Linked DNA regions of Saccharomyces cerevisiae S288C. The gene in region 1 interacts genetically with each later gene. Each region holds a gene or a part of one and is shown on either strand. Other genes may lie near its edges.

The links.
Region 2: mutations in SIT1 (region 1) and SUN4 together harm fitness more than expected from each alone (negative genetic interaction), as found in Saccharomyces cerevisiae (2 studies listed by BioGRID).
Region 3: mutations in SIT1 (region 1) and SSF2 together harm fitness more than expected from each alone (negative genetic interaction), as found in Saccharomyces cerevisiae (2 studies listed by BioGRID).

What each region holds. Positions count from the first base shown.
Region 1 is NC_001137.3:25,982-30,047, reverse strand, and holds SIT1 (siderophore transporter), read right to left. Parts: upstream 2,392-4,066; coding exon 505-2,391; downstream 1-504. Other genes in the region: AVT2 (Avt2p), read left to right, coding at 1-251; HPA3 (D-amino-acid N-acetyltransferase), read right to left, coding at 2,842-3,327; YEL067C (uncharacterized protein), read left to right, coding at 3,272-3,859. UniProt on the Saccharomyces cerevisiae protein: Involved in the transport of siderophore ferrioxamine B and so has a role in iron homeostasis.
Region 2 is NC_001146.8:499,789-503,405, reverse strand, and holds SUN4 (putative glucosidase SUN4), read right to left. Parts: upstream 1,892-3,617; coding exon 629-1,891; downstream 1-628. Other genes in the region: 60S ribosomal protein uL6 RPL9B, read right to left, coding at 3,150-3,617. UniProt on the Saccharomyces cerevisiae protein: Involved in the remodeling of the cell wall during the various phases of yeast culture development and under various environmental conditions and plays a role in septation.
Region 3 is NC_001136.10:1,085,778-1,089,510, reverse strand, and holds SSF2 (rRNA-binding ribosome biosynthesis protein), read right to left. Parts: upstream 1,931-3,733; coding exon 569-1,930; downstream 1-568. Other genes in the region: PIB1 (phosphatidylinositol-3-phosphate-binding ubiquitin-protein ligase), read left to right, coding at 1-292; TFIIH/NER complex subunit TFB1, read right to left, coding at 2,518-3,733. UniProt on the Saccharomyces cerevisiae protein: Required for biogenesis of the 60S ribosomal subunit.

The DNA.
Region 1 (4,066 bases):
TGGGTATATCATTAACTACATGTAATTTAGGAGCATTATTTGAACTGATTGGGGCCACTACGGCATCGACTATGGCTTACATTTTGCCGCCATACACAAATTTGTTGTTAACTAGTAAGAAGAAGAGTTGGAAGGAAAGGCTTCCTTTCTATCTTTGTATATGCTTTGGTTTCATGATTATGATAATCAGCAGCACCCAAACTATTATTGATGCAGTTAATGGTTCTGATGGACAGCACTGCCAAATATAGGGTATTTTTTCTTTCTGCTGGGTTTTAAAAAACTAGTTTAGTTACCTCATTGGAACTCAAATATTTATCCACTTTGGATAGTATATACGTCAAATTCTTTTGGTATTTTATCGCCGAGAAGTCGGTAGAGCCAGCATCAGATGCAAAGCCATGCAAAGACTGATATAAAGACTGTTATACCAAATGTTATGATATGTTCTTGACTATGTAGTAGCTATATGTGCATGTATGAAATTATTTGGGTGAGATAATATTAATCTTTCCTATCTTTACTGCTTGTAAAGTGCGTAAAGAATTTATTTTTCAAAAAACTTTCTTCCTTTTCCTCAATTTCAAAGGTGTTTTTACTTTCCAAATGATCATTGCCTTCAAGAGCAATAGAATCTGTTAGTTTATGATTTCTCAACATGAATGCGCAACCTAACAAAGGAAAGCAGAATACCAAACCTATGATACATAAAATCTTTTGAACATAGCGGTAAGACATGACTAAAGCTATTCTTTCTGGTGTTCCCCAGGTATAAGTTGTAATGAATGTAAATGGAGAACCGTACGCTTGTGCAGCTAAGGTTGGATCGGAAATTCTTTTTGAAATTTCTTTGGGTAGGATATTAGTCCAGACAGCTCCGCTAACAGAACTACCAAATGCAGAACCAATATTATAAGTGGCAAGGTATAATGAGGTTACTACCGCCATTCTTGCATGAGTTTTAGCGGATGCTTGGATGGAAGCTTGAGTCACATAGGTAAATGAACCTGCACCGAAACCTAATAGACACAAAGAGCCAATGATACCGGAATGAGCACCGGAGTCACCACGGTAATGGACCAGCAAACCAAATGAGACGATCCAACAAGAAATGCCAAATATAATAAAAGGCTTAGTCCTTCTAACTTTAATCAGTATGAACCCGAGGATTGTACCAACGATAACAGAAACAAATGAATACAAGGAGGTAATTCTTGTAGCGGACTTTATGGATTCATGAACTGCAACGACTAGTACAGTATACATGTAATCACCTTGCATATACCAGTTAAAATTGATAAAGAATGCGATGAGTAGAGCGAAAAAGATACCTCTATCTTGAATCAAGTCCCAAGGTGTCAATGGATGTCTCGAGTACTTTATTTCCCATAGCATGTACAGTGGTAACACTACAACCCAACCAATGACTTCAGGGACAATAATATGCGCAGTTTTCCATTCCTCTTTCAAACCACCCGCTAAGGTGAATGGAACCAATACACACCCGAAAAATACAGTAATTAATAACATTCCAATGATATCCAATTTCCAAAATGCGATGTCTATACAAAAGGACTTCCACTTCAATTTGTTTAGCGCTTCGAACTCGGGCTTCAATCTATCTTTAGCATGCTTTCTTGCTAAATACCTCATGTGCAACATACAAATTCCAAGCGGAATACAAGCTAGCGGCAGTATAAAAGCCCACATACCAATACCCCATTTCCAATTAGCATCTATGGCACTTGTTACGTTCCCGCTAATCCAGGTGTTGATGATAAATGGTAAAGCTGGAATGAATAAGGCTAACAACCTCCAGTTCAAGTTGGAAAAGTCAGAAGCAATAACTTCCAAAATTAGAATAATACCGGTAAGACCCAATTGGTAAAAACAACCACCAACTGCAAATCTTGTAATATTCACCGCTTGCGACTCAATGATGGTCCCCATGCTATAAAAAATGATACTGACAATCATAATGGAAAATCTGCCGAAGATATCTGATAATCTGGCAAAGAAGATCTGGCCTACAGCCGCAATAACCGTCTTAATACAGTTGACGGTCGATAGCAGCGAGTGCTGGGAGTACGACGAAGTCGCGTACGCCTGGAAAGTGTAACGGATATTACCATCTAATCCGTAAGCATAGGCAATGAGGAAAAGTGAGAAGAATAATGCGACACGGTAGATCGGGCGGTTGTACATTTCTGCGTAAATCTCGATGTTATGCACACCTGGATCTATCAATTCAATGTAAGAAGGTGCTGGAGAAGATGTGGTTAGCGTTGGCTTGACATCGACCTTGGCTCCTACTTCCTTTTCCAGCATCTCGGGAACGACAACCTCTTCAAATTCCTCGGGGAGGGTATGATTAGCAATACCAGGGTCCATTATGGAAAAATTTTCGTACTGGGTCTTTAACAGTTCTTTTACAAAGCACTACGATGTTCTAGCCTCATCGGTGATGGACGGTGTCCATTGCTTATATAGTATCTGCAAATCATCGCATCACAAAAGTAAATTAAAGGATCACGGATGAGCACTACTAATTATGGCAAAAGACGAACCAGATTGCACCCTCAAATGTGTTCTTTACGGCACATTGTAAACGATGAACTTCGGGGTCTTCCCAGCAGATAAGTTTCTTAAAATGCACCTGGATTAAGCTGCAAGTCATTCTGTGCCTGCGCCGTACGGCGCTTGCGATTAAATCGGAGAACAAACTATGAAAAGCCAATAAGAAACTATTTCACTGGGAAAAAGTGGGAAAAAAGCTTCGCAAGTGAGCCTATAGAAGCTAGAGTTATCTCTATACACAGTAGTCTACATTACACAGCGGTTTCAGTATCCGTTTCTCTTGTAAAGAACCTTATCTGTCTTGTAAGCCACTTTGGTGTACAGCAACTGTGCGCGGTGATTGTAATGGTCTGTAACCCAGTACACTGCAGGCGTACCGAGCTCATCGGCACGGCTGTATACAAATTCTATGAGCTTTCTACCTACGCCTTTGACTCTTGCGCGTTCAGTGACATATAAGTCATTCATGTAGACAACTTCTTCGACATGCCACGACGTCAAATGGTTCAGGTAGTGTGCAAAGCCAATTGCATCGCCGGTCTCGGTGTCAAAGGCTAGAGCACCCCATAGTTTGACCGTAGGGTCTATAAACCTTGCGAAGGTAGTGGTGGCTACTTCCGGAGGCATAACCGTTTTTTGGAAACCCTGATACTCCTTCCACAGTTTGTTCCAGGCTTCCTCATCTTTTGGCTCGATGGCCTTCACCACAATTCGATCGTTAACCATTTTTTCCGGTTCTTCGTTTGACATGCCTACGTTCTTCGTGCTTGCAAAAGGTGGAGATGGGTCTGGGGTCTTTTTCATTAGTCTGCACTCATCTATTTTATATGCCCGTTTTCCGCTTTTAAATATCTTGTCGCAACACTCTCCAGTATACTGTTCGCGAAGGTTTCCGCCTGATAACGATTTAATAACCGGATTGGGAAATATACGATGCGGTCAATTGGTGAAAAAGGCCTTACGCAGAGTATGCAATGTACCGCCTGATCATCAGCTGATCGCTTCAGTGCGATCGATTGGATATGCTAGAGTAGCATTCGTGTTTTGTACGTGTACGTCTGAATGTCGGGATAATTTGCAGAGTGTGACAAGAACTTCAGGCCATCAAACAACAATTAGTCAACCATGCACAGATATACAGTCAACACGGAAGTGCTCGACCATTTTTGTCTCTGCTGTTATGCAAACGGGAACTATAACTTTCTTCTGGACGTTCCATTTCCCCATCCCCTTACAACGCATAGTAAACCAAAAGCAGCCACCGCCTCAATCCTACGTTTAATACAAAAGTGAAGAACTACAATGGTTTAATTCTACTAGACGGCATGCTAACCTGAAAAACTCAAGCATTTTTATCTTTTCAGTCGGTCGTAGCTCTCCAACGGTTGTTTTTTCACAGTATATACTTTTTCATATTATCAGGCGAAAGATACGAGAAAGCCAAAATCAGGCACATTGAAAGGATAAAGCCAAAATCAGGTATACTGAA
Region 2 (3,617 bases), on another chromosome or scaffold:
CACGGAACAAAAACGGTTCCATCAAGCCGGGTGATTCATAAATTATCCGATACCGGAACAAATCGGTGAGAGATTTTCCGATGGAGGACGGGTAACGAGCCGGTATTTACCGATCTATGGAGTTTCCGAGTCATTACGGGTCCTTTTGTTTTCGTGTATGCTCCCTTCCCCGTAAGAAGTATACGTAGGAAGTGCGGTCTGCGCTGGACAGTATAAAACGGAAACAGGAGTCATCGAGGGGCTCCGGATTTTTTTTTCTTTTTTTAGCATTTAGCCTAATTGCACATTGTGAATAGATTGCCGTAGTAGAAAAAAGCCTTAGGAGTAGATAGCATACGGCAACAGAACTACAAAAAAAAAAAAAAGAGATTTGATGTCTTTTTTTTTTTTTTGGGTGGTTTTTAGGACAATGAAAGAAGAGGTGTGCGATGTATGTAGGTTTTCAAATGTCTTTAATATTACAAAATAATTTATGTCTGGAAGAATGATAAATAGAAACAAAGTAAAAAAAAATTGATATTAATCCGGCGTGGGTTTTAGTGTATGTTAAACAGACAATAAAATGGACGGGCAGAAAAGAATGGGGTAATAATACAATCAACTTACTCAACTGTTGATGCGCCTAAGTTTAGTTGTATAGAACAAACTTAGCTTTGCCAGCAGTAACGGAAACGGTACAACCGTCAGAGCCACCGCTGAAGCTACCGTTTTCATAGATACATTCACCGTTGACTGTAGAAGAGTCATCAGCGGCGACAATTTTGACATTGAAATTCAATGCGTTACCGTTGTTTGGGTTGGGAATCAAAGAAAGGTAGGCGACACCATCAGAAGAACCAGCGCCAAAGTTCAATGGAGCCCAATTACCGACGCCTGAACTTGAAGAACCCCAAACACAAGCATCTTCGACAGAAATACCGGCATTGTTAACGTAGTATTGCGCGGATGTCTTCAATCCTTGCCAAGTGTAGTAGGTGTCCTGATCAACGACAGTCAAGGGTAAAGAGTCACCTGCTTGCACATATGTAGGAATCACCATGTTTTCGGTACCCGGGTAATCGGTCCTGCAGATAGCAACATCGTTGCTCAATTCAGAGACGACGTAAGCGGCATCAACGCCCCATTCGCATAAATAGTCAGTATCTGTATTTGAACGGTACAGGTAGCCGTCCTTACATAGCAAACCACCAATGGATCTGCCGTCAGATGGTTGGTCAGAAGGCCATTGTGTCTTGGACATACCTGGTTGGCAAGCGTATGAGCAGTAAGACCCTTCTTTACAAGAGCCACCCGTAGAAGTGTCAGTATTTTCAACACCAGACCAGCCACCTTCATCTAACCAGCTGATGGGGATAACACCTTGACCAGATGGAAATTGGCCGCAAGGAATGGTACCGTCTTCAAATTTTTCATATGGACCTGAAAAGTCAGCCAAATCACCGTAGATACTTCCAGTTGCACTGGAAGCTGCTGAAGATGTGGAAGCTGACCCAGATGTGGAAATAGGCACAGAGGATTCGCTAGTAGAAGTTTCTGAAGATGTCAGAGTTGTTTGAGCCGAAGACGAGGTGGTAGCGATTTGTTCAGTACTCTCAGAAGAAGAAGCAACTTTGGAAGAAGACTTGGTGACCGAAGATTCGGAAATCAGAGTAGTAGTGGAAGCAACTGTAGAAGAGGCTTCAGTTGAGGTTGGAGTGACGGTCTGACCATTTTTATCGACAGTGACTGTTTCGTAAACGTATGTAACTGCAACGGCCCTCTTATGCTGGTGTGAACCATGAGCAGTAGTAGTACATCCTGTGTCAATATCAGCCGCATACGGCAAAGCGGAAACGATTGTGCTATAACCGATCAATGAAGCCGCGGTAAGAGTGGTGGCGGACAGTTTCATTTTATCAAATTACTAAAATAAATTTGGGATGGGTTAGTAAATAAAATCATTGCGAAAAGAGTAGGATTGCAAATTTTCTAAGATTAGTGCTAATTGAATCAATCAATATTGTTTTAGTTTCTACAATGGCTATATCTCGAGAAGTCAGAAACTTATTTTCGCGCCGTAAATCCGACGGCCAAAAAAGCCAAAAAGAAGTTGTGCACGGAAAAATAACGGGCATGTAAAAATTTGCTTTATTCTCGAAAAATGACGATGCACCGAAGCGAAAAAAGCACAGCAATTTCGTAATCAGTGGAATAATTTGCAAACTCAAAATATAGTAACATGAAAGGTCTTATCATTAAATTAAACATACGACTTGTAAAAAAGTAAAAAAAAAAAATGCTTAAAGGAGTGAAAATTAGTTGGAAGAGTTCTTTTCTTCGGCGAAAAAGGAGTGTAGAGTAGTTGGATAATGGTAAAAGAACGAATCGATCTTTCCTTTTCTTGCTATAAAGTTGAAATTGAATATAGTGAATAATACGGCGATTATATTTAAAATACGTGTGATAGTACTATTTTTTTTGGGGAAACTACTGTTATTTTTCTCGAAAGTAAGTGTTTAAATAAGATTCATGCTGAAGGGAACGTGCGAGAAAAAAATCCGAGATCTGGAAAAGTCATTGTTTATAAACTTCGCGCTGTGCAGGTTCCTTTCGCTGCCTTCCACTGCGCTTTGTTTACTTTTCCTATAAAAAAAAACGTTGTCGTTTACGTCCTAATAGAGAAAAGAGATGCTTCTGTTCAGTTTAACCAGTATTAAACCAGCATATATGTCGGGTAACCATATTTTTATGTTTTCATTTCGAAACTTGCTGGTACACCCAGATATCATTTTGATTTAAAGCAATAGCCGAAGAACAAGAGAAAGCTACGGGTATGATTGCAAGACTCAAGAAAAAAGAAAATCATTTGTAACGTATTAGAGAATATTTATTTTTTAGTGTTTCTTTCCTTTACCAAAAAATATGCAATTAGCATCAATAGAAGAAAAAACAAAAGCAATTTGAGAAAACGTAAAGTGGCTCTTTATTTCAATGAGCACTAGCAACGTTTCCCCTTGACAGCATTCCCTAGAGAGCCTGTCAATTCATCATTGGAAGTGAGGCACATCCAATGACAAAGAACCTCAGTCTTTACATAATACTAAATAAAAAAGTAGGAATAATGTACATATTTAAGCGCCTCTAAGCGCAAAGACACTTTTTTGTTCCATTTACATGTCTTCGACAATGAAACCCTTGTGGGAAACGTAGATACCATCCAAAAACTTACGGATATCCTTGTTTCTAACACGACAGATTTGTTGCAAGTCAGCGGCATTTTGGGAAACGTCTTCAACAGAGTTACCAGATAAGACGATTTCGTCCTTTACGTTAGTAGAGAATTCGATAGTAACACCATCTCTAACTGGGACGTTTCTGATCTTCTTGTCACCCAAAAAGTTTCTGACTTCAATGAATTTAGCACCATCCTTTTCAACAATGTTGACGTTGATTGGGAAATGCGCGTAGACGTATCTCATCTTGTACTTGTAACCCTTGGTGACACCAGTGATCATGTTGTCAACCAAAGATTTAACGGTTCTCAAAGCGGCAACGTGCTTTCTGTCACCGTTGTGAACAGCAACCTTGATCAATTGGTTGTTGACCTTGGTGAAGGTAACATCAATATGCTTCAAGTT
Region 3 (3,733 bases), on another chromosome or scaffold:
GTCAGATGCAGCAGATGACTCCGTAAAAGAAAGCCCTGCCTTTCAAAATAGAATGTTAGTGTACAAGATATCGCCTAATACAACAGATAATGCAATTAAGGAGTGCCCGATTTGTTTTGAGAATATGGAACCCGGTGAGAAAGTTGGGAGACTAGAATGCTTGTGTGTTTTCCATTATAAGTGTATTAAGAACTGGTTTCACAAAAGGGCGCAAATGACTGCAGCCCAGAAGGGAAATGGACATGCTTTTGTTAAAAGGAACTTTTGTCCTTTCCATGATGCCGTATTTTAACGATAACTCCCAATTTGCTTTTCATTACAAAGTTTAATTTTTCAGCTGTTAATAATCGAAGTTTTAACTTCCCTTTTCTTTTATTTTTTTCTTTAATTGTAAAAGATTTCTATATATTTGTTTAATTATGATCTTATATATTCATTAATATTTACTTTGAGGTGTTCCCTCACCTATGAATAAACAGACACTTCCTGGTTCTTTAAGTCCATCGGAGTCATGGCTACTATATGGATAGTGATGTTACGTACGGAGGATATATATACATATCGTGCATTATTCTACTTCACTGAATAAGTCACTATCCAAATCCTCTGGTACATCACTATAATGCTCATCTTCACTCGATGAAGATCCATCATCGCTCATTGCACCATCTTTCCCTTGACCTTCACCCTGTTCTTCTGCTCTAGCTTTTCTTCTTTCCAATTTACGTTGCTTTTTAGCATCTTTAACAGCCTTTTTTTTAGCAATGTTTTCTTCTTGTTCCTTTCTTCTTTGTTCCTTCAGCCTCATTTTTGCAGCGTGTCTCTTTTCTAAGGCTTTGATTTCTTCGCTTGATTTTTGAACAAATTCATGATGTAATACTTTACCTGAACAAATACCATCTTCTATTTTGACCAGTTTTAGAGTTAATCTTGGTCCTAATTCAGTCAGTTTGATAGCCTTCTTACGTGGAGTTGGTTGCGAATTTTCTGAAGGCTTAGGTTCCTCCATTTCCACATCTTCTTCTTCAATTCCTTTTTCACGTTCTTCGTTATCTGTCATTTTAACGGGTGTTTTTTGCGACAGCGAAGTTTGAGAATGTTTTGCCTTCACGTCCTGATTATCAACCACTCTCACAATAGCGTCATCTTCAATTTCAGATTCTGATGTATAGGCGCCTAAGTCATGATCTAATATCAAAGAAGAAATATCTTCTTTTCGATGCAAATTCGGCACTGTTTTACTTAGATTATTTTTGGCTTTATAAAGCCTTTTTAGATTTCTAGAGATCTCTACTTCTCGAATGTCAATAAAATAGTGGCGCATAGAAATTTCCCCCGTTTCTCTGTCTTTATTGATCATAAATATACGTTTGATAGAATTCAACGAAGTTCTTGCAGGATTCAGAGGTGGGAAAATATTCTGGAACATGGAAACAATAACCTTCTCCACGTTTACATCCTGATCGTCTTCATCAGATCTTTTCGATGTGGAAAACCCATTTAACACTAGCAATGGAGGATTTAATACATCATCATTATTTAACGATTTAGGTCTCTTCAAAAATTTTTTGATATCTCTACCCAGTGAATAGTCCAATACTTGAAAAGTAACAGTAGGACCTTGTGGAGTTCTAGCTATCTTTAGCGAGACATTTCCTGTTTTTTCAGATTGAGTGAACATGAAAAGATGCGTAACACCTAATGGGCCACACATAACAACAAAATCCTTCAGTTTATTGGACTTGCGCTCTTTTAGTTTTACGGCCGTATGCGGTTGCATGATCTGGCGAAAATCCTTTACTAATTGGTTTAGAGAATGGTTAGCCAATGAAGTTTGTCCCACTCTGATTACCATGGATTTAGGAATATCTCGTTCCTGCTCGGGTGTGATCTGCGCATGCGTTCTCTTTTTCTGCCTTCTTTTAGCCATTAGTTCCAAAATATCTAAGGTATGTGCGGGATGGTGACCTAGCAGCTGCAATTTAGTCGAATATTAGCTAGACTAGTTTATTTTGCCTATTTAATATCATTCATACAAGCCCGTCGATGAGATGCATCTACACTAAAAAATTGCAAAATCGTCCAAGATGATAGATAATGACTGAACTAACAGTCTGGAGTATTGCAAGTGCTTAGGTCTGTTTGGCAAAATTTTTGAAAATATTACTGAACCATTAGCAAGCTGTAATAGAACTAAAGCACCATTACTGATTTATTTTGACGAATCGTTTGCTAATTTTCAGCCACATCACATGCTGAAATATTTCCCGTTTGTTTCTTGTTTGTTTCACAAGCCATTCGCGCGCGTTTTCACGTTAAATGTTTTATTTACACGCACGGCTGCATCAGTGCAGCACAGCGTTAATCGAGTCCCGCGTTTTTCTATTGTTTACATAGAGACTAAAGACCAAAAAGGAAGAATACACACAATTAAGTTTTATGTAATATGTAACATGCAGTAAATAGATGAAAAATATGAATGTAAAAAGTGGTAACAACTGGAGAGCCTTTATATTTCTAGTTCGAATTGTTGTTATATTCGTTGAAGTACTCATCGTACTTATGAGTAGCCAAAGTAATGGAGTTCAAAACTGGCTTCAAATAGGCGGTACATGTGTTTGACATAGATTCACCATCACCATTAAGGACGTCTTGAAATAGCTCATTCAGCTTTTCAATACAGTCCTTCAAATGATTATAAAGTTTTTTGACGGTACTGGCTTGCTTTTGTTCACCGCTCTGAAAATGAATATAAAAGTGCTTTAGAAATTCACAGCACGTTGTGTGTAGCATTCTACAACTTTCTAATAGGTCTATTGGTAGGGTACTTTTCACCTCTAATTCATTTGCTTGAGAAGTGTTGTCGACAAAAGAGCCGAGTGCTGAATTAACATTGTTATGCTTAGCCTGTTTGGCGTTAATCTTGATTGCAGTTATGACTCTTTTATTGATCTTGTTGCTGACTTCGTTGTTAGGAACTACTTGGTTCAAGTCTAGCTTATTAATTAAATTATCCATGACCAATGACAACTGTTGTAACATTTGTTGATTAGAAACCTTCAAATCTGCATTCTTTATCGAGTCTGCCGAGCTTTTCGCATCGTTGTCGGTTGTCTTTTCATGTGCGTTCCTTTTCAGATGTATGATTGCATAGTTTGTCTTGTAGCTTTCGTTTAAGTCATCGATTTTCAGTTCATTTCTTTCATCATTATCTTCATCTTCCTCATCGTTTGTAATATTAGATTTGTTCTGTAGATTTGTCCTTGAATACTCATTCTTCAAAGCCATAATCATTTTTTCACTCAATCTATTCATACCCTTTAAGATGTCCACGGTACCATCGCTATTACCATTAATATCCACACCTGGCTGCATAGTGAAGTCGGGCCTGTTGCCTCGTACAACTGGGTCGTCCTGTATGTTACCATCTAAATCTATAATTTTTTTCACAGGATGCAATAGCATGTCATCATCTTTTCTGTCGAACTCTTGATCCAATGTCAAGTACCTGTCAATGATTACGTCACCTCTATCATTTTGCATGATCTTTTCACCCCTTAATTTTCTGAATAACTTCGAAGAGAAGAACCTTGCCCAGAACTCTGGTTCTTTGAAATTTTTGGGCACATTATCAGTGTAAGCTTTCTTTACAATTGGATAGTTCTCAAAAATATTCAAAATTTTTTCTCTTGACAAATTAACATTGACTTTGTTTTCCGATGAAGCCACCGGC